Linked DNA regions of Anolis sagrei. The protein of the gene in region 3 purifies or fractionates together with the protein of the main gene of each other region. This does not show direct contact. Links are inferred from orthologs where the notes say so. Each region holds a gene or a part of one and is shown on either strand. Other genes may lie near its edges.

Evidence for each region.
Region 1: the proteins of GRB2 (region 3) and PEAK1 purify together in Homo sapiens (co-immunoprecipitation; 3 studies listed by BioGRID and IntAct, counting the BioPlex papers as one, with this or other methods). This does not show direct contact. The link is inferred for Anolis sagrei from reciprocal best matches to the Homo sapiens genes GRB2 and PEAK1.
Region 2: the proteins of GRB2 (region 3) and PTPN12 purify together in Homo sapiens (affinity purification with mass spectrometry; 3 studies listed by BioGRID and IntAct, with this or other methods). This does not show direct contact. The link is inferred for Anolis sagrei from reciprocal best matches to the Homo sapiens genes GRB2 and PTPN12.
Region 4: the proteins of GRB2 (region 3) and DOCK4 purify together in Homo sapiens (co-immunoprecipitation; 4 studies listed by BioGRID and IntAct, counting the BioPlex papers as one, with this or other methods). This does not show direct contact. The link is inferred for Anolis sagrei from reciprocal best matches to the Homo sapiens genes GRB2 and DOCK4.

Annotation. Positions count from the first base shown.
Region 1 is NC_090029.1:10,715,924-10,723,656, reverse strand, and holds the start of PEAK1 (inactive tyrosine-protein kinase PEAK1), read right to left. Parts: upstream 3,016-7,733; 5' UTR 2,751-3,015; intron 1-2,750. UniProt on the Homo sapiens protein: Probable catalytically inactive kinase. Scaffolding protein that regulates the cytoskeleton to control cell spreading and migration by modulating focal adhesion dynamics. Acts as a scaffold for mediating EGFR signaling.
Region 2 is NC_090025.1:85,808,541-85,816,251, reverse strand, and holds the start of PTPN12 (tyrosine-protein phosphatase non-receptor type 12), read right to left. Parts: upstream 3,009-7,711; 5' UTR 2,781-3,008; coding exon 2,682-2,780; intron 1-2,681. UniProt on the Homo sapiens protein: Dephosphorylates a range of proteins, and thereby regulates cellular signaling cascades. Dephosphorylates cellular tyrosine kinases, such as ERBB2 and PTK2B/PYK2, and thereby regulates signaling via ERBB2 and PTK2B/PYK2.
Region 3 is NC_090022.1:117,442,582-117,450,166, forward strand, and holds the start of GRB2 (growth factor receptor-bound protein 2), read right to left. Parts: upstream 3,017-7,585; 5' UTR 2,816-3,016; intron 1-2,815. UniProt on the Homo sapiens protein: Non-enzymatic adapter protein that plays a pivotal role in precisely regulated signaling cascades from cell surface receptors to cellular responses, including signaling transduction and gene expression.
Region 4 is NC_090025.1:133,553,165-133,560,652, reverse strand, and holds the start of DOCK4 (dedicator of cytokinesis protein 4), read right to left. Parts: upstream 3,008-7,488; 5' UTR 2,709-3,007; coding exon 2,672-2,708; intron 1-2,671. Other genes in the region: ZNF277 (zinc finger protein 277), read left to right, coding at 3,285-3,321. UniProt on the Homo sapiens protein: Functions as a guanine nucleotide exchange factor (GEF) that promotes the exchange of GDP to GTP, converting inactive GDP-bound small GTPases into their active GTP-bound form. Involved in regulation of adherens junction between cells.

The DNA.
Region 1 (7,733 bases), on a different chromosome or scaffold from region 3:
CAACCCCAACCCCAACAGTATTCAAATTTGGGCGTATCGGGTATTTGGGCAAAATTGGTCCAGTGAATGAAAATACATCCTGGATATCAGATTCATAACAGTAGCAAAATTACGGTTATGAAGTAGCAATGAAAATAATTTTATGATTGGGGGTCACCACAACATGAGGAACTGTATTAAGGGGTCACGGCATTAGGAAGGTTAAGAAACACTGGGATACAGGATAATGAAAAAAAATGAAATGAATACTTTTGAGAACCTTAGACAGATGATAACCAAGAGAAAATGACTATGTGCTCGAACATACTGAGATATAAATATTTAATAGTATTCCTGTACCGTTGTATTATTATTTAAAGAGAAGTCAAGGGTCGAGGTTTTTGGGAGAAAATGGGGAGCTGATGGGATTGGGGGAAAATTGTATTTTGATTGTTGAATTTCGAAGATTGCATGCCTCTATGTATGTATTTATAATGTGCAACATTCACACTTGCCCCCAACAGACAAGAGTTCTTTCTCCCACCGTGGACATTCCAGAGATATATAAACCTCACTTGCCTAGTTTGCAACAGACCTCACAAACTCTGAGGATGCCTGCCATAGATGCAGACAAAACGTCAGGACAGAAGGCTTCTGGAACATGGCCAAACAGCCCGGAAAACTCATAGCAACCCAGTGATTCCAGCCATGAAAGACTTCGACATTTTGACCTGAAAAATTTCGGGGGTGGTTTAAACCCCTCAATCTCTCCCTTGGCTACGGGCTTGTCCCAGATCCACCTCATAGTAGTGTTGCATTGCTTTCTCCTGGATGGTGTTTTCTCTTTAAAGGGAGAGACAGAGAGAAAGAGAGGGAAAGAGGGTGGAGCCCTCCTCGCTCCAAGCCCAAACTTTCCATCCAAGTTTAGAAAAACTGAGTGGAGTCGAAATGGGCTGAAGAATGGGCATTTAACCCTTCAGATTTCCACCTCAGAGCAGGAAGTCCTGCATTAGAGGAAAAGATGAACAAAAAGGAGACAGAAAAGGTGGGGAAGTGCCCCTTCGGTCCCCTGTTATTGTGTCTAATTTACCTCCACCTTTCACCCCCTTTGGAATCAAAAACCCGTTATCCTCAAGGCCTGTTGTTCTGTCCCTCAGACGACACAACTAAAGTTTCTTAAAACACACACACATACATACATATAGATATACATACACACACATGCACACATATGTAAGTCTTTAAATAGTAAATAATTACTTGTTCTGAGATATATAAATTATATATATCTGGGAGATACAAAACATACATACATACACACAAACATATATATAATACGTATATCTAATACACATATTATATAGATATATATTATATAGATATTTGTTTACTATTTAAGTCTTTAAATAGTAAATAATGACCTATTCTGAGAGAAATAAATATATATCTGGGAGATAGAAAACAATAATATTAATATATAATAGAATTTACATATATAGATATATGTACATATAAGTCTTTAAATAGTAAATAATGACCTGCTCTGAGAGATATAAATATATATCTGGAAGATATTATATATCTTATATATATTATATATTAATGTAATATACACATATAATATAATATATGTATTATATAGATATATGCACATATATGTCTTTAACTAGTAATTGCCTGTTCTGAGATATACAAATATATATCTGGAAGATACTCTCTCTCTCTCTCTCTATATATATATGCACATATATAATAAATTTAATATAATATACATATATGATAGAATATAATATTATATAGATATATGTACATATATGTCTTTAAATAGTAAATAATTACCTGTTCTGAGAGATATAAAATATTTCTGGGAGATATAAAACATATATGTAATATAATATTAATATATAATAGAATTTACATATTATATACTTATATGTATACATATAAGTCTTTCAATAGTAAATAATGACCTATTCTGGGAGATCTAAATATATAACTGGGAGATATAAAACATATACATACATATATGTAATATAATATTAATATATAATAGAGTGCACATATTATATAGATATATGTACACATATAAGTCTTTCAATAGTAATAATTGCCTGGAAGATATTATATATATAATTTAATGTAATATACACATATAATATAATATACATATTATATATAATAATATAATAATATTATATATAATTATAATATACATATTATATAGATATACGTACATATATAAGTCTTTAAATAATAAATAATTACCTGTTCTGAAAGATATAAATATATATCTGGAAGATAGAAAACATATATATGTGTGTGTATGTGTGTGTAATATAATATTAATATATAATAGAATATACATATTATATAGATATATGTACATATAAGTCTTCAAATAGTAAATAATGACCTGTTCTGAGAGATATAAATATATAGCTGGACTATATTTATATATATATATATATATATATAGTGTAATATACATATATAATATAATATAATATATATGCATATATATATATATATATATATATATATATAAAAGTAGTAAATAATTGCCTGTTCTGAGAGATACAAATATATATCTGAGAAATACAAATATATATCTGGGAGATATAAAACATATATATATATATATGTTTTATATCTCCCAGATATATATTTGTATCTCTCAGAACAGGCAATTATTTGCTAAAGACATATAGATATATTTACTAAAGACTATAGATATATAGACATATATAAGTTTTGAAATAGTAAATAATGACCTGTTGTGGGAGAGAGAGAGAGAGAGAGAGAGCAGGGATTCCTCCTCACGCGAAAGCAGCAGCAGCAACTCCCCAACTCCTGAGAGAACTACCGGTCGCCGCGAGGGAAAAAAATAAATAAAACTAAAAAGGGCTCGCGCCAGGCTCCGCCCACTTTCGCGCGCCACCAACCGTCACTCGGAGGAGGGAGGGAAGGGAGGGAGAGCGCGCGCCCGTACGCATGCGCCCATCCTTTTTCCTTTTCCCCCGGCGTGTGCTCTCAGCTGTTGCTGCTACTGCTATTGCGAGAAACTTTGGGGCGCGTGCGCATTTCACTCCCATTCTCTCTCCCTCTCTCTCTCGGGGGCGTGGCTATCTCCTCGTCCAATCAATAGCGGTGGAAATACGGCGTCCTTTTCTTTCTTTCTTTTTTTTGTCTGAAAGGGGCGTGGCTTTTCTCCGTCCAATCAAAATCGCGACGAGGCGAGCACCACAAAAGTAGGCCTATTCCTCAATCTCTCCGAAGGGGGCGTGGCAAAGGGTCGTGGCTTCTCTCCGTCCAATCAGCGGCCTCCGAAATCGCGAGGAGGCGGGCACCACAAAGTAGGCATATTCCTCAATCTCTCCGAAGGGGGCGTGGCTTCTCGATGTCCAATCCGCGCCTTCCGAGGACTCTACAGCTCTCATTTCCCGGCATGCGTCGCGCTCATGGACCGTTCAGTGAGGGAAAGCAGAGACGCATCACACCTTCCAATTGACGGAATCCTTCCGCTGTCGGAAATGAGTCCGCTTCAACGTTTGGTGTTTTGGACTCAAAAAAGGGCGGATTTGGTGCCCAAAGGCGCGCCTTTCGGTCTGGACAGACAAAGAGACGCTTATCCCGCTGTTAGTGCGGGAATTTATGGGAGGAGGGAGAAAGGGAGGCGGAAGGATATGGGGAAACGAGAGCGGTGATGCGCCCGTGTTGTGTTTTGAGTGGGGAGAGGAAGGAAGGAAGCGGAAGAGAGTGAGGATGAATGAAGGTGGCTGAGTTGGGGTGAAAACTGCCCTCCCATACAAAGGCCAGCTCTTCTGTGCCAGGTTAGTTATTGATGTGCGGGAGGAGAAGGAAAACAAACGGACACAGGCCGAGGCGGCGTGCCAGAAGGCGGGGGAAGGGCCCGTGAGGCCTACAAGGCCTCCTTTCCATTCAGAATCAATGAAGACATTCCAGAAATATAAAGAGACCCGGGGACGCCGTGTGAGAAGCAATAGTAATACCTAGCATTAATAATAAATAACAATAGCATCAACTTCAAATTAGACCAGGCATGGGCAAACTTTGGCCCTCCCTCCAGGTGTTTTGGACTTCAACTCCCACCATTCCTAACAGCTGGTAGGACCAAGTTTGTCTATGCCTGGTCTACACACTTACCTAACATTGGTTATGGGCCCAGCACTCAACTGAAGTGGCTGAGGAGGGAAAAGAAGGGTCCTGAGGCTGTTAGGAATTGTGGGAGTTGAAGTCCAAAACACTTGGAAGGCCCAAGTTTGCTCATGCTTGGTCTACACACTGACTTAACATTGGCTATGGGCCCAGCACTCAACTGAAGTGGCTGAGGGGGAAAAAGAAGAGTCCAGCACTCAGCTTAAGTGGCTGAGGGGGAAAAGAAGGGGAAAGAAGGGTCCTGAGGCTGTTAGGAATGGTGGGAGTTGAAGTCCAAAACACTTGAAGGTCCAAGTTTGCCTGCGCCTGGTCTACACACTGACCTAACATTAGCTATGGGCCCAGCACTTAACTGAAGTGGCTGAGGGGAGGAAAGAAGGGTCTGGAGGCTGTTAGGAATGGTGGGAGTTGAAGTCCAAAACATCTAGAAGGCCCAAGTTTGCCCATGCCTGGTCTACACACTGACCTAACATTGGTTATGGGCCCAGCACTCAGCTTACGTAGCTGAGGGAGAAAAGGAAAGGGCCTGAGGCTGTTAGTAATGGTGGGAGTTGGAGTACAAAACTTCTGGAGGACCCAAGTTTGCCCATGCCTGGTCTGCACACTGACCTAACATTGGTTATGGGCCCAGCACTCAGCTTACATAGCTGAGGGGAAAAAGGAAAGGACTTGGAGCTATTAGGAACGGTGAGAGTTGAAGTCCAAAACATCTGAAGGGTCCAAGTTTGCTGATATCTCGTCTACACATTGACCTAACATTGGTTATGGGCCCACAACTCAGCTTAAGCAACTGAGGGGGGAAAGGAATGGGCCTGAAGCTGTTAGGAATGGTGGGAGTTTAAATCCAGAACATCTAGAGAGCCCAAGTTTGCCCATTCCTGGTCTACACACTGACCTGACATTGGTTATGGGCCCAGAACTCAGCTTAAGCAACTGGAGGCCCCAAGTTTGCCCATTCCTGGTCTACACACTGACCTAACATTGGTTATGGGCCCAGCACTCAGCTTAAGCAGCTGAGGGGGAAAAGGAAAGGGCCTGAGGCTGTAAGGAATGGTGGGAGTTGGAGTACAAAACTTCTGGAGGACCCAAGTTTGTCCATGCCTGGTCTACACACTGACCTAACATTGGCTATGGGCCTAGCACTCAGCTTAAGTGGCAGAGGGGGAAAAAGAAGGGTCCTGAGGCTGTTAGGAATGGTGGGAGTTGAAGTCCAAAACATCTGGAAGGCCCAAGTTTGTCCACGCCTGGTCTACACACTGACCTAACATTGGCTATGGACCCAGCACTCAGCTTAAGTGGCTGAGGGGAAAAGGAAAGGGCCTGAGGCTGTTAGGAATGGTGGGAGTTGAAGTCCCAAACATCTGGAAGGCCCAAGTTTGCCCATGCCTGGTCTACACACTGACCTAACATTGGTTATGGGCCCAATTTGCAATTTGTTTCATAAAGATCAAGTAGACAGAACATATTGTAAAGAACAAAAAAAACTTTCTGGCCTTGCATCGCACATTTTAGTGCAAATACTAAGACACAAATAGTGTTAAATTCAGCAAGTATTGCAGAATGTCATGTCACAGTCCACTTCAAAAAGGTTCATGACATGCAGCTGTAAATAAAATGCTGTAGTATATAAAAAGCCACATGTTAAATTCATAAAATATATACTGGTTTATTTGGATGATTTTAAAGTGATTTCACTCAGCTTAAGCAGCTGAGGGGGGAAAGCAGCTGAGGCTGTTAGGAATGGTGGGAATTGAAGTCCAAAACACCTGGAGGGCCCAAGTTTGCCCATGCCTGGTCTACACACTGATTTAGGCTATCCGGATATCACTTCTCTAATTCTGAGCCACGTTACACAACAAGCATTGAGTCCCAGATATCATACTTTTGCCCTATGCTCTTGTTATATCACTACATAGAGTACTGCAATGTGCTCTACATGGGGTTGCCTTTGAAGACTGCTTAGAAGCTTCAAGTACTCCAATGATATAGGAGCCCCCGGTGGCGCAGTGGGTTAAATCCTTGTGCCGGAAGGACTGAAGACCAACAGGTTGGACGTTTGAATCTGGGGAGAGTGCGGATGAGCCCCTCAGTCAGCTCCAGCTCCTCATGTCGGGACATGAGAGAAGTCTCCCACAAGGATGGTAAAACGTCAAAACATCTGGGCATCTTTGCAGTCAGCCAATTCTCTTACACCAGAAACGACTCGCAGTTTCTCAAGTTGCTCCTGACACAGAAAAAAAACAGCCGGATTGCTTTTTGGTGGACAGGGAGCGTGCAACCCCCCTGCTGCGTTACCTCCATTGGCTGCCAATTTGCTGCCGAGCACAATTCAAAGTGCTGGCTTTAGCCTATAAAGTCCCAAATGGTTCTGGCCCAGCTTACCTTTCCAAATGTTTCTCCCCTATAGATCACCTCGAACACTAAGATCTTCTGGGGAGATCCATACCCCCCCCCCCCTTTTTAATGTTGAGTGCTAGGCCCATAGCCAATGTTAGATCAGTGTGTAGACCAGGCATGGGCAAACTTGAGCCTTCCAGGTGTTTTGGACTTGTAAGCTGTACCTTGAAAACGGCCCGGAAATTTCAATTGGTCCAACCCCATAAATTTCATTGGGTTTTATTAGGCAAAGAATCCTGAGAGAAGGTTTGCCGGTTCCTTCCTCTGAAATATAGCCTAAATCACTGGCTAGTTGTTGGCGAACTTCTTTCCAAACAGGACTCGCCTTCCTTAGCTGCCAAAATAATATAGGATCAGGTGTTTTCAGGATATTTAGATATCTTAAGATGGAGACAATCCTTTTGTTCAGCATAGTTTCGTATTGTTATTGACTAGCATTGACTGTCCAGGTTTCATATATCTTCTTCCCATGCATTCTTCCTGATATCACATTGAATTTTGGAGCTTCTAAATGCAAAACATGTTATTTGCCACTGAGCCACGATCTTCCTTCTTATTCCTTTCCAATTAATGTCTCCTTTATTTGTGTTGTGGTGCTAAGCTTCTAAACTTGAAGCAGGAGATCTGTTCAGAGCCTTCAAATATTTGAGATTGCAAAATTGGGGTCAGATGAGGAGGAGAAAGCTGACTCTTCCACAATGATGAGCTTTCATCAAATGTAACTAAATGCTGGCAAAGCAGAGTTGGATGCTGAAACCTATTTTTACACCAGTACTGGGATTGTATTTTTGTGGATTTCTCCAATTTAGACAGCTTATTTCTCTTACTAATTCCCTCGGCTTTCTTTCAAATCCTTAGGTCCCCAATGGTATGCCAGTTTCTTGTTTCACAAAGCTGTTTATCCATGATTTGCTTTTTTTAGCATGGTATCAGTAAAATGCAAGACTAATTTTTATTTTGGGCTGGCAGATTTGAGTATCCTTGCTGTAAGGAACAGTGGTGGTAATAGCAAGCTGTGGGAAGCCATTTCCCTCCTGTCCTGGACTAATTCCATTGATCCTTTAGAGACTTGAAATCATGTTCTTAAAATGCATGAATGTTTGTGAGAACACTCCAGGTCAATCTGAACTAAGTCAGGGATTAGTGTAGGATTGTGAGAATCCTCCCATGGATGCGCTTTA
Region 2 (7,711 bases), on a different chromosome or scaffold from region 3:
CCCTTTTTCTTTCCCTTCCTCTTTCTCCCCTTTCTTCCTTCTCTATCTATTCTTGGACTGCAACTTCCAGCAGTCCTCCTGATCTATCTATCTCTTTCCAATCTATCTATCTGGAGGATTGCTGAGAGTTGCAGTCCAAGAATAGGTAATTGGAAATCTGCAGGGATTAGGATGCTCTCAAAGAAATCCAAGAAGAAAGCTTGCAGCTTGGAAGCAATGCATTTGGATCCCCCCCCCCTCCTAAAGGGCTTGGTCTAGAGGATGCTGGGAGCTGTAGTCTGGAAGAGAGTGTGGATATGCTATTGTGTGTTTTGTTTGCCAGGTGGAGTCATTTTTGCGCATGCGCTGTAGCATCTTCTTGCTTTTTTGACTTTTAAAGTCTCTTCTGCTGTGTTTTTCAGTGTTTTTATGAGTGATGGTCACTCGTTGGCCTGATAGGTGTCTTGTGTCCAAATTTGGTGTCGATTCGTCCAATGGTTTTTGAGTTATATTAATCCCACAAACATACATTACATTTTTATTTATATAGATTACTAGCCATCCCTTGCCACGCATTGATGTGGCCCAGTCTGTGTATATGTGTGTGTATATATATGTGTGTATATGTATGTGTTTGTGTATATATGTGGTTTTGCACATGCATTGTAATGTATTTTTTATTTTTTTGGCTTTATAAGTCCCTTCTGTTGTGTTTTTCAGTGCTTTTATGAGTGATGGTCACTCATTAGGTTGTTAGGTGTATTGTGTCCGAATTTTGTATCAATTCGCTCAGTGGTTTTTGAGTTATGTTAATCCCACAAATGAACATTACATTTTTATTTATGTACTAGCCATGCCCTGCCACACGTTGCTGTGGCCCAGTCTGTGTATATATGTGTGTGTGTGTATATATGTGTATATGTGTGTGTTTGTGTATATATGTGGTTTTGCACATGCATTGTAATGTATTTTTTACTTTTTGGCTTTTTAAAGTCTATTCCACTGTGCGTTTCTGTGTTTTTATGAGTGATGGTCACTCATTGGGTTGTTAGGTGTATTGCGTCCGAATTTGGTATCAATTCGTTCAGTGGTTTTTGAGTTATGTTAATCCCACAAACGAACATTACATTTTTATTTATATACTAGCCATCCCCTGCCACATGTTGCTGTGGTCCAATCTGTGTATATGTGGCTGGATGGCCATCTGTCAGGGGTGATTTGAATGCAATATTCCTGCTTCATGGCAGGGGGTTGGACTGGACGGCCCATGAGGTCTCTTCCAACTCTTTAATTCTATGATTCTATGTGTGTGTGTATATATGTGTGTGTATATATATATGTGTGTGTTTGTGTATATATGTGGTTTTGCACATGCGTTGTAATGTATTTTTTATTTTTTGGCTTTTTAAAGTCTATTCCACTGTGTTTTTCAGTGTTTTTATGGGTGATGGTCACTCATTGGGTTGTTAGGTGTATTGTCTCTAAATTTGGTGTCAATTGGTCCAGTGGTTTTTGAGTTATGTTAATCCCACAAACGAACATTACATTTTTATTTATATAAGATGATGATGATTATTATTATTACACTTTTATTTATATAAGATGATGATGATTATTATTATTATTATTATAGTGGCAGGGTATAAATAAATATTATTATTATTATGGTAGCAGGGTATAAATAAATATTATTATTAGTATTACTATTAAAAAAATTATATAAGATGATGACGATGATGATTATTATTATTATGGTAGCAGGGTATAAATAAAGATTAGTATTATTATTACATTTTTATTTATATAAGATGATGATGAAGATTATGGTAGCAGGGTATAAATAAAGATTATTATTATTAGTATTATTATTACATTTTTATTTATATAAGATAGTGGTGATGATGATGATGATGATGATTATTATTATTATGGTAGCAGGGTATAAATAAAGATTATTATTAGTAGTAGTATTACATTTTTATTTATATAAGATGATGATGATGATGATGATGATTATTATTATTATTATGGTGGCAGGGTATAAATAAAGATTCTTATTAGTAGTAGTATTATTAGTATTATTACATTTTTATTTATATAAGATGATGATAATGATGATGATGATGATGATTATTATTATTATTATTATGGTGGCAGGGTATAAATAAAGATTATTATTAGTAGTAGTAGTATTAGTATTATTACATTTTTATTTATATAAGATGATGATGATGATGGCAGCAGGGTATAAATACAGATTATTATTAGTAGTAGTAAAGGGGCCCTGATAGACCCCAACTGCAGGGGAAGGTGATCCCCGATTTCCACACACATCCTTCCTTGGTACCTGGTAACAAAACCAGAAAGGAAGAAATCCCTCTGGGCTGCTCCCTTCTTAAGGTAGAGGCGTGCCTTCAAAAAAAAAGGGGGGGGGGACTTCTGGAGGAGGGGAGAAAGAAGCAAAGAGCCAGAATATGTGTCTATCTTTTGCACAAGGCTTCCTAGCAAAGGCACACACCCACAGGAAAAGGCTGCGAGGAAAGGGAAGAGGATGCAGCAGCTTCCTTTCAGAGATGGAGAAGGGGGAAAGAAAGGGGGAGGGGGAGGCACCCAGGAAGGGCCTCGAGCCTCCCTCCCCACCCTCCCCCCCCCCCGCAGGCCTTCTCCCCCTGGGCGCCCCCTTCCCCTCACAGCAGGCTTACCATGAAGTCTGTGGCGAAGTTGTCCTCCCCATTGTGGTCGGTGTCCTTCATGGCCCGGACGCGCTGGATGAATTTCCTCAGGATCTCCTCTTGCTCCATCCTCCCTCCTGGCCTCTCTGGGCGGAAGAGACCCGGCTTTCTCCTTCTCCTCCGCCTCGCCCTGGCCTCCCTCCCTTCCTCCTCCTCCTCCCTCCCTCAGCACAACTTCCCGGCCAGGGCTCGGCTCCGCTCCATCCCCTCCCTCACGCGAAGCGACGCGGCTATTTCCTCCGCTCCCCCCTTTCCTCTCCGCCTCACACACTCTCTCACGCCTTTTCCTCCCGCGCAGGCGCAGTGCCGTCCGCGCGCTCCCGCCTTCTTCCTCCCTATGCGGCCCGGCGATTGGATGCCCCGCCCCGAAGGTCGCTGCCATTGGCCCAGCGGCTCGCCCGTCCCGCCCTCTTCCTCCTCCCCCTCCCTTTCCTACCTCTGGAGAAACTTCCTTCTTCTTCTTCTTCTTCCCCACCCCTAAATTGTTCCCCCTTCTTCCGAAGGGATCTTCCAGTGTTTGTTGAGCAGGAGGCTGGGATGTACCAATGAGATTTAAGGGGGGGGGGGGGAGGTGGTAGAGATAGGAAAGGAGGAAGGGGGGGGGAGTAGAGAAAAACAGAGGCTGAGTCTCTCTAGGTTAGAGGCGACTTCCAACGGGGACCACTAGCCCAGTGGTTCTCAGCCTGGGATCCCCAGATGTTTTGGGCCTACAACTCCCAGAAATCCTAGCCAATTTTCCAGCTGTTAGGATTTCTGGGAGTTGAAGGCTACCCCTCTATTCCGCTTTGGTTAGACCAGACCTGGAGTATTGTGTCCAATTCTAGGCACCACAATTCAAGAGAGATATTGACAAGCTGGAATGTGTCCAGAGGAGGGCGACTAAAATGATCAAGCCCTATGAGGAGCGGCTTAAGGAGCTGGGCATGTTTAGCCTGAAGAAGAGAAGGCTGAGAGGAGATATGATAGCCATGTATAAATATGTGAGAGGAAGCCACAGGGAGGAGGGAGCAAGTTTGTTTTCTGCTTCCTTGGAGACTAGGATGCGGAACAATGGCTTCAAACTACAAGAGAGGAGATTCCATCTGAACATGAGGAAGAACTTCCTGACTGTGAGAGCCGTTCAGCAGTGGAACTCTCTGCCCCGGAGTGCGGTGGAGGCTCCTTCTTTGGAAGGTTTTAAACAGAGGCTGGATGGCCATCTGTCAGGGGTGATTTGAATGCGATATTCCTGCTTCTTGGCAGGGGTTGGACTGGATGGCTCTTCCAACTCTTTGATTCTATGCTGTGTCCAGGTTGGTTCATCAGGTGGTCTGCTATGGCTGACTTCTTGATTGAAAATAGTGGTTGAAATAGTTTGCAGTGCCTTTCATTTTCCTTGATCCCACTTATGACATTCTTTCACATATTTATGCACGACTATCATGTCTCCTCTCAACTTTCTCTTCTGCAAGCTAAACATATGAAACCCTTTAAGACACTCCTCATAGGTATTCATGGTCTCAAGACCTTTGATCGTTTTAGTTGCCCTTCTCTTGACACCTTCCAGTTTCTCCATATCTCTTTTGAACTGTGGTGTCCAGAATTGGGCACAGTATTGCCGGCGAGGTCTAACTAAAACAGAATAGAGAGGTACCATGGAACATGAAAGGCACTGCAGACTACTTCAGCCAGAGAAATCAGCCATAGCAGAACACCTGATGAACCAACCTGGACACAGCATATTATATGAGAACACAGAAATGCTGGACCACTCTCACAACCACCATGTCAGACTACACAGAGAAGCCATTGAAATACACAAACGTGGACAATTTCAACAGAAAGGAGGAAACCATGAAAATGAACAAAATCTGGCTACCAGTATTAAAAAAAACTCTAAAATTACAACAGCACAACAACAGAGAGGAAACAAACAAGGACATCTAATCACCTCTCAACAAAAGTTTGCTCTAGACACTGTCAGGCCATTATATGCCAATCAAGGTGGTCAGTTGAAACATTCACACCTAGCTCCAGCAGACAAGAGTCCTTTGTCCCACCCTGAAAACCTTCGACAACAGAGGCTGAGTCTTTCTGGGTTAGAGGCGACCTCCAACGGGGACCACTAGCACAGTGGTTCTCAGCCTGGGATCCCCAGATGTTTTGGGCCTACAACTCCCAGAAATCCTAGCCAATTTACCAGCTGTTAGGACTTCTGGGAGTTGAAGGCTACCCCTCTATTCCGCTTTGGTTAGACCACACCTGGAATATTGTGTCCAATTCTGGGCACCACAATTCAAGAGAGATATTAACAAGCTGGAATGTGTCCAGAGGAGGGCGACTAAAATGATCAAGGGTCTGGAGAACAAGCCCTATGAGGAGCGGCTTAAGGAGCTGGGCATGTTTAGCCTGAAGAAGAGAAGGCTGTATAAATATGTGAGATGAAGCCACAGGGAGGAGGGAGCAAGCTTGTTTTCTGCTTCCCTGGAGACTAGGACACGAAACAGTGGCTTCAAACTACAAGAAAGGAGATTCCATCTGAACGTGAGGAAGAACTGTGAGAGCTGTTCAGCAGTGGAACTCTCTGCCCCGGAGTGTGGTGGAGGCTCCTTCTTTGGAAGCTTTTAAACAGATGCTGGATGGCCATCTGTCAGGGGTGATTTGCATGCAATATTCCTGCTTCTTGGCAGGGGGTTGGACTGAATGGCCCATGAGGTCTCTTCCAACTCTTTGATTCTATGATTCTAAGGGCAAAAACATCTGGGAACCACTGCATTAGCCAAACTGAAAGGGGACAATGTATTGTCGAAGGCTTTCATGGCTGGAATCACTGGGATATTGTAGGTTTTTCGGGCTATATAATAATAATAATCTCAAATGTAGACTCTGCAAGGAAGCAGATTTTATTTATCGTGTCAGGGGCAGACCAGTTGCATTGCATTCTTTAACAAAACAAAGAAACAAACAAAACACAAAGTTTGCGAGCTGAGTAGTTGATTAAATGTCCTTTGACCAGTACCTGGCCACTTGGAGTGCCTCTGGTGTTGCCGCAAGGAGGTCCTCCATCGTGCATGTGGCAGGGCTCAGGTTGCATTGCAGCAGGTGGTCAGTGGTTTGCTCTTCTCCGCTCTCGCATGTCGTGGATTCCACTTTGTAGACCCATTTCTTAAGGTTGGCTCTGCATCTCGTGGTGCCAGAGCGCAGTCTGTTCAGCGCCTTCCAAGTCGCCCAGTCCTCTGTGTGCCCAGGGGGGAGTCTCTCATTTGGTATCAGCCATTGATTGAGGTTCTGGGTTTGAGCCTGCCACTTTTGGACTCTCACTTGCTGAAGTGTTCCAGCGAGTGTCTCTGTAGATCTTAGAAAACTATTTCTTGATTTAAGTCGTTGACGTGCTGGCTGATATCCAAACGGGATGACAGTCTACGAGTGCATTCTCACACTCAGTGGTGCTTTTAAGTTATAGACACGACTACAACAAAGAAAAAGTGCTACTATCGGTATATTATGTCTCTAGACTTTCTGCAACGTACAGTTCAATTTCACATTTTTTTTAAAATTTAGACTATAGCAGCTTTAAATTACATCCACAGAGTTGCCTCCCAACTTGCAGTTATACTGGGCATCTGCTATGGTATGCAACCCTGCTGACCTTTTGTACCAGGCAGTTTATAAGTTTGAAACATAAAGTTTATTTCTCTCTTGCTCTTCAGGAAGCAGGCAATTGAAGCCAAACACAATAAGCAATGTTAGTAAGGCACAAGTAAGTACACTGCATTTGTACTAATCTGTACTAATAAAGGGAACATGAGGGTCAATGTTCTGTCAAAGTCTGGAAACACACACATATTGCTTTGCAAATAAAACTTGGTTCACACCAGTATAGTGATGACTTGCCTAGGTTTCCGTATTAGAGGTACAATATTACAGGTAACATTTTCATAGCTCCTTCCATTATTTTCAGTAGATCTCTTTCCACAAGTCTGTTCACATTATTTTGGCAGCATAGAGAAAGCAGGCGTTACTTTTACAAATATGAACCAAATTTTGTCACATTTACTTCCTTATGTCTTTCTTCCAAATGTATGTACTTAATATCAGATTGCATGATTTGGATCTGAAAAGTTAACAGGTAATATAAGGAGCTTGCATCACAACTTTACTCTGATTCTAATAGTAACATCAACACACTCCTAATAATAATAATAATAATAATAATAATAATAATAATCCTCCCATCTCCCGAAAGGGAGCCCCCGGTGGTGCAGTGGGTTAAAGCACTGAGCTGCTGAGCTTGTTGATTGAAAGGTCACAGGTTCAATTCCGGGGAGCGGCGTGAGCTTCCGCTGTCAGCCCTACCTTCTGCCAACCTAGCAGTTCAAAAATATGCAAATGTGAGTAGATCAATAGGTACCGCTCCAGCGGGAAGGTAACGGCGCTCCATGCAGTCATGACCTTGGAGGTGTCTACGGACAACACCGGCTCTTCGGCTTAGAAATGGAGATGAGCACCACACCCCAGAGTCAGACATGACTGGACTTAATGTCAGGGGACTACCTTTACCTTTTTACCATCTCCCGAAGGACTCGGTGCGGCTTACAAGAGGCCGAGCCTAAATACATCAGTAAAAAGCAACAACAATAATACAGACAATAAACTAACTCATAAACAAACCAATAAACAGTAACAATAACACAACAACGCATTAAAAACCTATGGCAGGGTCAAATGTAATAATTAATCTTTTTTTAAAAATGCTGGGCGTGACAAGGTGACATATAACTAGGATAGGTATTTGGAGAGAGATGGAGCGAGCAGACAATCCTAGATCATTAGTAAAGTGCGATTAGGGGCATGTTGCTTAGGGTTTCCTTATTCTGGGAAGGCACACTGGAACAACGTTTTCAGGCTCCTCTTGAAGACTGCCAGAGTTGGGCCAGCCTAATGTCCTTGGGGAGCGAGTTCCAGAGTCAAGGGGCCACCACCGAGAAGGCTCTATCCCTCGTCCCCATCAATTGCGCTTG
Region 3 (7,585 bases):
CACTGACCATTGTGTTTTAAAAATTATATGTAGTCCTTTGTAACAATGGGTTATCGATCTACGGAGTAATCGGCCCTTTGAAGGCAACCACAGGGCTGAAATGGCCCCTAATGAACATCAGTTTGACACTCCTGATTTATGACAAGTCACACTCTCTCAGGTTCAGATGAATACAAAGACAACCCCACTCTAAACAAACCTTTCCAAGGAAACCCTGCAATAGGTTCACTACAAGACTTGAAGGCTTATCAGAAAAGCATTATTATAATGTGGAGTAGGAGCTCTAGAGAAGAGTAGGAGCTCCTTCCTTAGAAACTAGACACATCCCTTTCCCAAATAAAATAAAAAACTGAAATGAGTTAAACTAAAGTATACATGAGTTAAACTACTATTGTAAAACATTACACTAAATGACCCACTGCAGAGTTATCAAAATATATGCAGGGGTTGCCAATGGTCAAATTACATACATAAACTTATTTTGAGGAGGCCTTATTATCTTGCAGGAACTAAGCATTGGGGATTTGCATTACATTGTAGGGATAACATTACATAGCCGACTTGCTATGTTTGCCAGAAAAAGTATCTACCAGTTTATCACAAGAAATTAGCCTGAAGCAAAAACAAAACAAAAAACCAAAACAAACAAACAAACAAAACTAAACAAAAAAAACAGAACATCTTGAGGAGGTAGAGGTTTCTTAACTAAGGATACATTTCTTTTCAGTGATATCTCATGGAAGTCATAGCCCAGGGGTAAGAATAAATTAATTTGGGTGTCCTGTAGTATGTTTTTAGGGTATAAAGCCTTGGGGTTTTTCCCCAAATGGGAAACATTTCTTCTATATTTTGAATTGACACCAGGCATCTTTTAACAGCACACAATTTTAAGAAGCAATGGGTGCAGCTAAACTATAGAATGAATGCAGGTTGACATCACTAGGCTCAGCAGGACTCAATATTGGGAAATCATGAGAGTTACAGTTTCGACTTATCTGTCAAAGCGTGCTAGTGCCTCAACTACAAATCATAGCACAGACCCAGGGAACTGCATTGATTCTACAGTATAGATGTACTCAATGTCATTTTAATATGCACAATTAAAGCAAAACTTGGAACCATTACTTTGGCCTACAACTCCTGGAAACTCTTAGCCACAGGCTAAGTTGGCTAGAGGGCTCTGGCAGTTTTATGTCTTTTCTTGGATCATTTTTAAGATATTGGAAGCAAATTGGGATTGTATAAAACTTTTGGTAAGTTTCAGGCATTCACAGAAAAAGATTCTCTAAATATCCCCCTTCAATGCAACAGCTATTTTTACCTTTGCTCTGAAACCATTCTGTGAATCCTAGGAGATTCCTGCATTCCCAAAGTTTTGATACAAACACATTACTGAAGTCTCTATTTTCTGAGGAGGTACAGATTCTGTCTGATCTTGAAAGCTAATCTGGGTCAGCTCTAGTTAATACTCAAGTGGCAAACTGACAGGGACCACCAGATGCAGTATGCTATATTTCAAAGGAAGGAACTGCCAAAACTCCTTCCCAGTCTTTTTTGCCAAGGCGACATCTATGAAGAGACACACAAGCCTACTCCCACCACCCGAATAGGTGAATGTGAATGACAATTCAAAATGTTGCTTCTAATTTTTGCCTTCCTCATACATGTCCCACCACTTTTTACAGAAAACTGCTGACCGCAACTTCTGCTTTAACACTAAGCATGTGTTATAAGAGAATTTCATTTCAGTATCATAATGCAACATGGAAACTATGAGATCAGAACAACCACCCTAAAGGTTCTGTTCTTAACTGCCGCCAAATTGACTTTGACTTAGAGGTTTGTCATTTATGGTCCCTTCCACAAAGCTTAATAAAATCCCACATTACCTGCTTTGAATTGGGATATTTGGCAATGTGGACTCAGATAACCCAGTTCAAAGCAGATATTGTGGGATTTTCTGCCTTGGCATTCTGGATTATATGGCTGTGTGGAAAGGTTCTTAGAGGTTTGTCACTTATGGGATGCCCTGTGTCACTCTTTCAGCAAGAACAGTGCTAAGGTTTTGCAGACCCTGGATAGCCATGGCTTCCTTGGCTGGATCTTGACTGAAGAATTAATGCACCTTGATAACACTTTAACTGTCATGGTTCAATTCTATGGAATCCTGGGATTTGTAGTTTGGCAAATCACCAGCACTCTTTGGCAGAGAAGGCTAAAGGCCTTGCATGTGCCTTTATGTGCACCACTCCGAGTCCCCTTCAGGGTTGAGAAGGGCTGGATATAAATATGGTAAATAATAAATTGTAAAATGACAACTCCCAGGATTCCTTGGCATTGAGCCACAGCTGTTAAAGTGCTATCAAGCTGTATTAACTTTACAGCTGAGTTGGAGTCCAAAATATCTGGAGGGCCGAAGTTTGCCCATGTCCGGTGTAAACTCATATAATGCAGTTTGGAACTGCATGATATAGTAGTGTACATTGAGCCTAAGTTAATAATTACTAGGCCAACTCTGGAAAGATTCTCCGCCACTCAAGGCATTTATCTCGCAGTGTCCATTTCTCAAGGAGCAGCAGAGTCATTCGCACGACGAGGAGATCAGAGAGCGCGAGCACCACCCGACTCCCCTCGATTTCCCGCGCCGCGCGCGCTCACACACTGAAAGGCAGCTGAGGCGAGCGCGCGCGCATAGGCGAACCCCAGCCTCCTTCCCGTTCCCTTCCTTCCCCTCCCCCGACAACCGCTCTGCGCGTCCGCCGCCAAGGGAAAAGCCCCCAGGGCGGACCCCCGGCCGAGGCCAAGCACCCCTTACCGTAAGTCAGCTGGGGTTCCGCTCCAAGCGGCCCCCTCCGCCCGTCCCTCTCTCCTTCCTTCCTCCCTTCCTTCCTTTCCTCTCCGCGGCCCCGCCTCAGCGGCTTCTTCGCCCTCAGCAGGGGAGCGCCGCAGAACAACTTCCGCCACCGTACTCTCGCGAGGCCACCATGGGGTGCGAGGAGAAGGGCGGGGGAAAAAAGGATGCTGAAGAGCGCATGCGCACTCTAAGGGCTGTCACCAGAGGGGGTGGGTGGATTTGAAGTCTGTGGTGGCAGCAGGCGCATGTGCAAGAAGATAAACTCCTGAAAAGTCTTTCTGGATCCATTTAAAGAAAAATGCCATAAACTATATTCCCTCCAATATATTTCTCAGGAAATAAAACCCGACTGCTCATTGGAGGGAAGGATATTAGAGGCAAAGATGAAGTACCTTGGCCACATAATGAGAAGAAAGGAAAGCTTAGAGAAGACAATGATGCTGGGGGAAATGGAAGGAAAAAGGAAGAGGGGCCGACCAAGGGCAAGATGGATGGATGGTGTCCTTGCAGTGACTGGATTGACTCTGAAGGAGCTGGGGTGGCCACGGCCAACAGGGAGCTCTGGCATGGGCTGGTCCATGAGGTCAAGAAGAGTAGGAAGTGACTGAACAAATAAACAACAAAAACATTCTCACTACCTCAGAGGATGCTTGCCAAAGTGTAGGCGAATCGTCAGGAGAGAATGCCTCTAGACCATGGCAATACAGCCTGAAAAAACCTACAACAATTCCAGCCATGAAAGCCTTCGACAATACAACAACAACATTTTTCTCATCATTGGCGAATAGGACCTTCTGGCTTAGTAACATCTGGGTGTAGTGACGATGGCAGGAGTTATTCATGGTTGTGGCATCTACAGTGTAGGATGAATGCAGTTTGACATCACTTTGGCCACTTTTTGGCGCAATGCTATGAAATCACAGGAGGTGTCATTTTGCAAGGTCTAAATAGTGCTAATGCCTCGCCAAATATAACTGACATTATTCCACAGTATTCCCCTTCTGAAGCCTAACCTTGCCAAGACACAAGTGTGTGCTTGCCATCAATATAATTGTGAAGCCAACAGGAAACTGAAGGTTACCTGGGAAGGCCAAGAACTGTGTGAAAGGGCCCTCAGACTTAACGCTAACCTTTAGGAAACACTGTGTGAACACCAAGCACAAAGTAGCTGCACACAATGACATCCTGCGGAAACTTGCTAATAGTGCATCAGGTGCAGAGCCAAAATTAATAAGAACCTGGCCTTGTCTTACTCAACAGCTGAGTATGCCTGCTCCATCAGGCATAAATCTGTTTAATTCTGTTTTATTGTTCACATATTTGTGAATTTTAAATTATGTGGTCATGCTTTTAATTGTAAGCTGCTTTGAGTCTCCTTCAGGAGAGATAAAGCAGGGTATAATTAACCTAAACAACAACAATCTGAGATAAATCTACCCCATGAAGGGAAATTCAGTCTTGGAAGAGTTATCTTGGGGAAAAGGTGTCTCCACTGAAGATTTATCACCAAACCTTGCTTCCATAACAAGCTAATTTTTTCAAAATCCAATTATCACTGAGACAGAAAGTGAGGTCAAATCCTCTGAAGAGGGGTACAGTCCATAAAACAAACATCATAGGAGTGTTAGTCCTTCCCTGTGCTATCCAAAGCTAATATATATTTGGCTGGAGTTACACTTTTAAAATGTACCTGTTTCTACTTACATACAAATTCAATTTAAGGACAATCAGAAGAACCTGTCTTATTTGTAACTTGAAGACTGTGTAATAAAATTTCATTATTTTAAAAACATTTTTGAATGACAAAACTAAAGAAAAAGGGGCAACATAAAACTAGCAAGATATTTAATTCTGTTGTCATCTACAAAAGTTCACATTCAATCAAATTATATTTTAAAAAATCACCAAAAAATCCACAATGTTTTAAGTAAGTTTACAAATTTGTTTTGTTGGGCCGCATTCATAGTCCTCTTGAGTTGCATTGGCCCACAGGTCGCAGGTTGGACATGCCTGCTCTGTAACATGAACAGTCTTCAATAGCCCTGTTTCAATCATGTTCTTGTCTATTACACTGGGCCAAAACGTCCAGTTTTAAAAGCTGAACCAAATAACTTCTGCTCTTCTTTATGTGTCAATACATCAGTGGAAATGCCTTGTAATAGAAGTCAAAGGCGTGATAAAATTGCAATCAATAAGGTGCCTTTATTATAGAATAAAGAACACATTGGAACTCCCTTCCAAATAAACATAGCGAGGATTAAAGTGGAAGACTATTTAAAACTGGTAAGCATGTCAACAATGCCTGGCAACTCTTACTCATAACACTTAGTCATGAGTAATTATATTCCTTTCCATAAGATTATTTAGCAGTCATGGAAACACAAAGGTTGGCAGCAAGGGTTTAATTTCCCTTAAACATCAGGAAGAACTTCTTCACAGTCAGTGCTGCTCAACAGCATATTCCACTATTGAGCAGCACTATGCTGCTGCCTCGGAGCATGCTGGAGTCCCCCCTCTGGCAGTTTTTAAGCAGAGGCTGGATGGCCATCTGTTGGGGGCGCTTTCAAATCTGTGTTCCTGCATGGCAGAAGGGGGTTGGGCTGAATGGATTTTATATGGCAACGTAGAAGGGGCCTAGGTATCACAACTCATCCACTTCTTCAGCAGGTAAAAATCCAGAGGGGTTTGTGTAAAAAGATTGGTTTGTGTAACCTTTTCTTGGCAAAAGGGGTTTTATCTTTGACTTTCTCTGAGGCTGCGAGAATGTGACTCACCCAAGGCCACCCAGTATGTTTCCATAGTTGAGTGGGGATTCAAACCTATGTCTTCAGAGTCATAATCAACTGATCAAGCCGCTACACAACATAGTATTGGGGAACAGAAATGGTCATGTACAATATTTGGTTGATTTTTTCACCTATGTGAAGTTGGGCTTTAAACTGTGCTGGTTGACTGTACTGCAGGGGTTCAGTTGCAGAAAAAGAATGGTTATAAATTGGAGCTGGTAGTTCAGCTATATGATATTCCACAACAGTGAAGAAGTTAAAAGGAAAAGAGAAATATATAGTCCCAGCAGTCCCGGTGGAAAGAAAGAGCCAGGGGTGTTTTGTTAATTAATGAAATGTTTGATTATATATATCTTTATAAATTAGTGCTTCTTAGTCCATATCTTTCTGCTCCGTTCTTGACAAAGCATTAAAAAATCCAAGTGAGTGTGAGTCTACGTCTCATATATGAATTGGTTACAGCTTTTTAAGGGCCAAGGAATAGCTTTAATGTATTACAGATTTTTCAATTCATATTAATGCTAGGCTGCATTCCTGCCTGTCCAGTTCATGTTATTTATTTCACAATCAATACAATTATCAGCCAATTTCAGGGGAGGGAAAACTATAGGCAAAATAAAATAATTTGTAAAAAGTGTATAATGTTTAGATGTTGAGAAGTTTGGAAATCCAGAAATCTAAAATCCACATTAACTACCAAAACCAGAATATTAGAGTTGTGGCTTTCTTTCTTTCTTTCCTTCCTTTAAATTCCAATCAGCATAACTATTGTTGCCGGAGATAAGAGAAGATGAGAGGTACTGTTCAACTATTTATAGAGAGACGCAAGTTGACGACACTTGTACTATTAACTGAAAGTGCTGTGAGTGCACAAAAGGTAGGGACAGAAAATTCACATGGCTCAGCTATAAGTCTCTCTTTTAAGTTAAAGTGCAAAATCAGAGCTTAGAAGTAATAGGTTGTTGTAATTACCTTTTTGGCTAACAAGCTATAACAATGTTGCACTTCCAAAGCAATACAATCGGTAGGAAATTACTTTAATTTATTGGTGCAGTCCATATATTTTGTCATTATTTCATTAATTCAAAGAGTTTTTTAAAACAAGTAAAAAAAAAGCTATTGGAAAGTAACATACATATTGGAATTAATAACTGGATTACATTTTCAAAACTGAAAGTGAGCTAGTGTGAACTACCTTTCTGGAGACCAAGGTTTGAATACCCCCTGGGCTATGGAAATCCACTGGGTTACATTGGGCAAGTCACTTTCTCTGTTTTCAGAGGAAGGTAAAGGCAAACCCCTTGTGAACAAATAATGCCAAGAAACCCACATGAGAGGGTCTCCTTGTCTAAGGTCATTCAGTGAGCTTCCATGGCCAAATAGGAACTTGAACCCTGGTCTCCATATATGTAACACAACCAATACTTTCAATATAACTATACCAGGGAGGGGCCTTTAAAATTCTCAGCCAGAAAGGTCCTGGGTCTCACTACACTACAAAACCCAACATTCCGCAAGAGGATTTAAAGTGGGATGCACACTCTATTTCCACCCTTTAAAGGATAGTGTGGCAAGAGAAGTTAAGACTGACCTTAATTGTTAAGACTGGGGGCAGTCTGTCTGGGAGAACCCTCTGTATTTATCTCCCATCAACCATGAAGTAGACACCAAATGTTTATGGGAATCAGACCTGTTTAATGATGCGGTCATGATTCCACCGCATGCTGAAAATCGGGCAAGGCAAAAGAAGGCAAAATAGCAACTTAAAATATTTTGCATGTAACAGGACATCTACCCATGCTCGTTGCATTTCTAAATGGTGTTTCACAAACATTACCCATAGCAAAGGTAAATTTTAATGCGATTGTACTTAGTATTTTACAGTCAGATAATAAAGCAGAAGTTTTTTCTCCTAGATTGCATTTAGCATGCAGAAATACATATA
Region 4 (7,488 bases), on a different chromosome or scaffold from region 3:
ATCTGGGATCATATCTAAATGGCTGCATGCAGTAGATCTGGTGTTACAATGCAAATGGTTAAAAGACAGAAAGATCAGTTTCTGGAACATGTCCATACAGCTCGGAAAACTCACAGCCACCAAGTGATTTCAGCCATGAAAGCCTTCGACAACACAGCACAAAAGTCTTTGCATTCCAGCTGGATTTGGTGTCACATCCGCAACTAAGTAGCACAGGCATATCTCAATGCAGAACAAACAACATTCCTGCAATACCCTTTACCTGAAAAGCCAGGGAAAGTCCCTTCGAATATTTTATTATAGCTTCCAAACCTTTAGAAGTCTTCCATATACTTGCAATCTTAAACACATCTACTTAGATATAAATCAGTGGGGCTATGGGAATAAAGGGTACAAGGTTGCAACCTTTATCACTTTGTGGTCTGAAATATCCCTATAGTTAATCCCCCAAACAGAATTGGGGAAAATGTCCCAGCTATCCAAAGACAGAGAGGCATATCCTTGATCTTTGCACCATTTCAAAGTTGGGGGGGGGGGGGCGGTCTGAGAAATGTGCATTGCAAGCTAAAAAGGAAAGATGGGTGGCACGATATACAGAAATGAATAATCCAAAGTACGATCATCAGAAGGATCTGGGTGTAAAGTGTCTGGAGGCAGAAATAAAATCCAAGTTTTAAAATATTCAATAAGGGATGAAGGCAGGGGAGGGAGCCAGAAGCGCATCAATGGTGGGGAGGAGGCGGGTGAAGGGGGGAGATGAAAAACCCCACATTCATCCGTCAACATCTAACCTCCTTTGTTGTTCACCTTTTGCAGAGAGGAGGGAGGCAGATTTCTCCTCCTCCGCCCCAAAGAGGAGGGCAAGTTTCCCCCAACTGATCCCACCTCGGCCCTGCCTGCTTCCTTGTGTAATAAGCTAGGTACCTTTGTACTCAATTCAACCAGAGAACAAAAACAACACCGCTGGAACTAGGTTACTATCCAAATTAAAACAAAAACACTATGCACACACAGACACAGAGAGAGAGATGCACACTGAACTGCACATTGGTGCCTCTCTCGGTTTACGCGAAAGATGGCAGTTTAGCCCCAATTTCAAAACCTTGTGCCAAAACATACAGTTTGTAACAATTGTGGGAGATTGCTTAGTCTGCTCTTTTTTATGTGAGTGAGTTGATGGGGTTCCTTTGCTTTAGAAGATTCTGCTTAATGGGAGACAGTCCCTAAAAGGATCTATTACAAAATCTACTATCCGATCTTCACCATTCATGACATCCAATTTGGGAAAGGGGAAAAAAAACCCTCACCATTTTCCTTTATGCCACATTTTAAAACACTATCCAAATGACACTTGGCGCAAAGGGAAGGGAAGGAGGTTGAAGGAGGAAGATGGGAAACAGATAGCGCAATAAATGTACATTTTTTACACCAAAAATTGGAATGCTTAACCTGCCTCTACTTGAAGACAATGAATGCATTTTTTAAATGGAGCCCCTTAACCTGCCTCCATCTGAAGACAATTTAAAAAAATGGATACTTTAACTTCCCTTTATCTGAATACAATGAGTGCAATTAATATATTTATTTTGAGGAAAACCTTAATCTGCCTCCACTTGATGAAAATCATTAAAAAATACTTTGATACTTGAACCACTCTCTACTTGAAGACAAATCAATGCAATGTGTTCATTTGGGGAGAACTTTAACCTCTCTTGTCATCTTAAAAACAATAATAGTCTTTTTAATTTATATATATATATATATATATACATATAGTATTATAATATATTAATATATTAATATATAATATAATATTTTATGTTATATATCAATATATTATAACATATATTAATATTAGAATATTTCAATATTATATATATATATATATATATACACTATAATATACATAAAACATTATATATATACACACACACACATATATAAATGTATATGTATATAGAGAGTGGGACACCTTTCAATGTCCCAAAAATATATTTATTTTGGGGAAAAACCTTAACCTGCTTCCAGTTGAATCAGTTGGGTAGAGTTGGATGAGACCACAAGGGCCATCCAGTCCAACCCTCTTGAATACAATACATTTCTTTAAAAAACTGGATAGCTTAACCTGCCTCTATTGAAAACAACCAACATCGTGTATTTTTCTAGAGAAACCTTAATCTGCATAGACTTGAAAGGCAAAATAATTTAGTTATTTGGGGGGAAACCTTAACCTCCCTCCAACTAAAGACAAGAATTGTTATTTTTAAAGAACTAGACATCTTAAAACTGCCTCTACTTGAAAACAACCAATATAATGGATTTGTTTTGAAGGGAAACCTTCACCTGACCCAACATTATCCATATCTAAATGAACACCTTAATCTAGAAGACAACCAATGCAATCTGAATTATTTTTGGGGAAACTTTAACCTTCCTTCACTTGAAGGCAATGCATTCATTGTCTTAACCTGCCTCCAACCAAAGTCATTCAGCAATTTGGGAGGAAACCTTAACCAGTTGAAGAGCCAGCCAGACAAATGCAGAACTGCCATGAAGATCAGGATAAAAGAATTCAGGTTGGAGGAGCAGAAGGATGTGCAAAAGAGAGGTCCATTGGATCTCCCCCTTCCTTCCTTCCTTTCCTTCCCTGACTTGGGTCTGTGGCACTCACCGACTCCGTATTTCTCGTGCTCTGTAGGAATCCACATGCTCAGTGTTCCCCCTTGTTTTGTTTGGTTTGTTTGGTTTCTTTTCCCAAATAGTGACAGTAGCAGCTCCTCTCTGCTTCCGAAGCCAACGAGGCTGCTTTGCAAAATCCAAGAGTAGGAAGACACAGCGCAGCGGCTGATGCAGCGGAGCTTGCTTGGCTTGGCTTTGCTTGGCTTGCTGCTGCCTCCGTGGCGCGCGCTCTTCTTCAGCCCCGCTCCTCGTCGGGCGCCGGCCGCGGCGGAGAAGGCATTGTTCGGATTGACGAAGCCCGGCTCGCGCGCTGGGACTGCCAGCCGAGCCAGCCCCGCCCACTTCGCTCCTCCTGATCCTCCCCCTCCCTCCCTTCCCTTCCCCTAATGCACGACGGGAAGTGTAGTCTTTATTTTGTTGCCCTCGCCGAGAAAGATAGCCACGCCCCCTTCCTTGCCGCGGTCTCTGGTCAGACAAAAGAGGGCCCGCTCCAACTCTCCCGACATGCTTTGCTTTCTCGGAGTGGGCGTGGCACCAAGGGAAGGAGTGGGCGGGGCCCCGTCGCTCCCCATTGGTCCAAGGTGTGGGAATGGAAGCCTGGCGGGATGGCCGCTGCGACGAGAGAAGGAGGAGGCGGGAAGGGTGAGTGGAGCAGGCTTCCCCTCTCACCACCAGGCCCATTCTTCTCTTCCGGGATTTCCTTTTCATCTTCCACAGCAAGGGGTTTCAAATTGCGTTAATTCTACAGTGTAGATCATAGGTAAAAGGTAAAGGTTTTCCCCAGACAGTCGTGTCCGACCCTAGGGGTTGCTGCTCATATCCATTTCTAAGCCGAGGAGCCGGAGTTGTCCGTAGACACCTCGAAGGTCACGTGACTGCACAGAGCGCTGTTAGAGTTGGAAGAGACCACATGGGCCATCCAGTCCAACCCCCCTGCCATGCAGGAAAAGCACAATCAAAGCACCCCTGACAGATGGTCATCCAACCTCTGTTAAAAAGTTTCCAAGGAAAGATCTTCCAGCACACTCTGAGGCAGAGAGTGTGCTGGACAGCTCTGACAGTCAGGAAGTTGGGTATTATTTATTTATTTACTGTATTTGTATACCGCCTTTTCTCAGCCTTTTGGTGACTCAAGGCGGTTAACAGGCAACAAGTCATATACATAATATCAAAATGCACATAAAAACATTAAATACAATATAAAACCACAAAAGAAATAATAAGCAACAGCCAGGAGACAGGTGTTTTTAAAGTCTCTTCCTCAAGGTCAGTGCCCACCAAACCCTTCCAGTATTTTCTATGGGTCATGAGCGTTCTGTGTGCCAAGTTTGGTTTAATTCCATCATTGGTGGAGTTCAGAATGCTCTTTTATTGTAGGTGAACTTTAATTCCAGCAACTACAACTCCCAAATGACAAAATCAATCCTCCCCCCACCCCACCAGTATTCAAATTTGGGCATATCAGGAATTTGTGCCAAATTTGCTTCAGTGAATGAAAATACATGCTGCATGTCAGATATTTACATTACGATTCATAACAGTAGCAGAATTACAGTTATGAAGTAGCAACAAAAGTCATTTCATGGTTGAGGGTCACCACAACATGAGGAACTACATTAAGGGGTCATACCATTAGGAAGGTTGAGAACCACTGTTCTAGAAAATCCTCCGTATATACATGTTCATAATAGCAATTGTGGAAAGGAGAGTAAAGCAAAGTATAAATGTTAATTTAGATACAAAATAGCCTTGTGTTGTTATTCTAGCCATTCAGTTCATTGAGACAGAAATGTTGCCATCATGATCTACTTGAGCATCTGGTTAGCAATTCGCTACTGAGGTAAACAGGATGCTGAACTAGATAGGTCTGGTCCATCTGAGCTCCTCTTATGTTCTCAACCGACAGAAAACAAGAGGTCGTTATGCCAGTGGGACTTCTAATGAGGAAAGAACCTGAGCCAGAATGATGAATTATAGATAATATTGACCTTGGACCATAGCTCTAATTCAGCTTCTAACTGCCAATGAATGATCCATCCTCTGAAATCATTGAATATACAGTATAGTTTGGTAGAGCACTACAGCTTTTTGACTGGCAATTATAAATACTCCTCGCTAAAACTTACAAGTGCCAGGATTCTATGGGATGTTGCCATGACACTTGAGATGGACGCATAGTGCTATAGTTGTGAAACATTAAAGGACCCCTGGAACTATTTGATTCAACCCCTGTTCAGCCTCGCTAGTATTGAAGAAGTATTTGTTTTCTTTCTAAACTTAATCTACCTGGGAATTGTGGTGGCTAAGAGTTAACCAGGAGATTCCCCCTTCAAATATTGCCTCATCCATGAATACAAAAGAAGTCAAAGCTTCTGTTATATGCTTCTTTCTCTCTCCCATCCTTCCGAGCTCGAATTTAGACTAGGACCCTGGGTAAAGAGGGCCCATACCCGGCGAGCATTTACATTAAAGCCCCAAGTTCCTGATTGAAGAACACACTCACTTTTGAAAAATTATATTCATAACCTTTTGGGAAAACAGCTTTTGGAGATCACAACTTTTTAGAAAAGCATAACTTTTCAGAGACGAGCCAAAAAACCCTTTAGGGTAGAATCTTCTCTTGTAGTATACAACCAGATATAATTATGCAAGGCAATGGTTTCACTTGTTAGACTGAATAACCTATTATCTCTGATTTGTTAGGAAAACAGAGATTTGCCAATGTATAAAAAAGCAGAGCTTTAGAAGTGCATTTTCAGTGCCCAAAATATATACTCTCCCATAAAACAATTTGTTTTATATCATGCACTCAACAGACAAGAATGAAGTAGACTTTGATAAAGATAAGATATTTGGTTTACTAACAACCTTCATGTGTTCAGCATACACAGGTACAAAACTTATCAGTCCAGTTGATTTATTTCTCTCTCTCTCTCTCTCTCTCTCTCTCTCTCTCTGTCTATATATATATATATATATATATATATATTGCCCTTCTCAGCCCAGAGGTGACTCGGAGCAGTTCACAAATTGGCAAGAATTCGATGCCTCAACAATTATAACAAGTAAAAACAATCAAGAAATTCTGTTAAAAACAATAGCATACGATATAAAAAATATAAAAACTGTACAAAGCCTTAAAACATTATCGTGAGCGTCTCCATGTCAAATCGTTATTCCATTGCATTATCAGGTAGTTTCATAATTAAATTTAGCTGTGCTGTATTTGGGGAAAACCTGCTCAAAAAGCCAGTTTCAGATATGTTGCAGATAATTGTGCCATCTGGCCAGGGCATCTCTCTTAAAGCAAAACAACTATCAGCAGGTTGCATAGTCAAAAGGAGAGAGAGAAAAGAGCATGTGGTCTGCAGCTCCTTTTATAACTTCTCAGAAGCCATAGAGTAAAGCAGGCATGGGCAAACTTTTTAACTTGGGGGCCCCATGGTGAGTTGAAATATTGAAACATGGTTCTCACGTTCCCTCTCTTCCTTCTCTTCTCCCAGCTAAACATCCCCCAGGAGGAAAGGAGGGAGGAAAAAGAAAAGTAAGGAGGAATGGATGGAAGGGAGGAAGAGAAGGATGGATGGATGGATGGATGGATGGAAGGAAGGGTGGAAGGGACTCGAGGGAGGGCAAGACAAAGGGGAAGGAAGGAAAGGAAGGAGAAACAGAGAGAGGGAAGGAGGGAGGAAAGAGGGGAGGGAGGGAGGGAGACAGAGGAAGAAAGGAAAGGAAGGAGGAAGGAAAGAGAGAAGGAAGGAAGGATAGGATAGGATGGAGAGAGAGACTGTCTGAGAAAAGAACCCAAGGGGCTGCATCAGGCCCCCACTCCTGGGTTTGCCCATACCTGGAGTAAAGGAAGTTGCACATGAGAACATACATACAGGAAACTGTAAGAAACAGGATCATAGATAACCATTACTAGAGAAGGCTTGAAGAACGTTGACATTTCCAATACTCACCAGGTGAAAGTAGCCACAAAGGTTTATTAGCAATCCGCTCAGAAAGGATGCAAGTATGATTAGTGCCAAATGTACAAGCATAATCATGAATACAGAGACATGAAGTTTTACCATTTGATAGCTAGTCAAGCCTTCCAGCTCTGCCCAATTCTCTTCCTGACCAAGAGAGAGGCCAGGTTGGATCCGCTCCCCAATTGGCTGGCACTTTGATCACATTGCCACCTCCAGGCGGAGATTCCCTGCTGGAGGGAAGGAGGTGGATGAGGATTGGTGTAGGAAGGGCCAATCAGCTGTTGAAGGGCAGCTCTCCTGGGAAGAGGCAAGCCCTGGAAACCCCATGTCCATATTGGGAGATGTAAATGAGTCCTTGGTTGGTTCAGTTGTTTCAGTCTTGAATAATGAGGAAATTTCCTGGGAAGAACAAGCGCAAGGAGCTCAGGAACAAAATGTGATGATCTTCTTCAATCGGTCTTTTGAGAGGTAAAGAAAAGAGTTCAAAGTGTTTCAATACTTTGAATTCCAGTTTCCGGGCCAGCCATCCCTCAGCTCATTTGAAGCAATCAGCAGGGCGAGTCTTGGCTATTGATACCTCCTACTCCTATTAAAACCTCCTACTGGCCTGTGCATGCACACAATGGACCTTGATTGTCACCTTTGTGGGGTGGGAGGTGTCACATTCGACCAACACTTCTACATATATAACACCACAAGTATAAGAATTCCGAAGCAATGTTCCTCTACATTGGAAAGTTTTCTTTAAATTATAAGAGTTATTTGGAATGGAAAGGAGTCAGTGTCCTGATCTACTTCAAATGTTATCAAAATCATGAGCTCTGTGTAGGCCTTG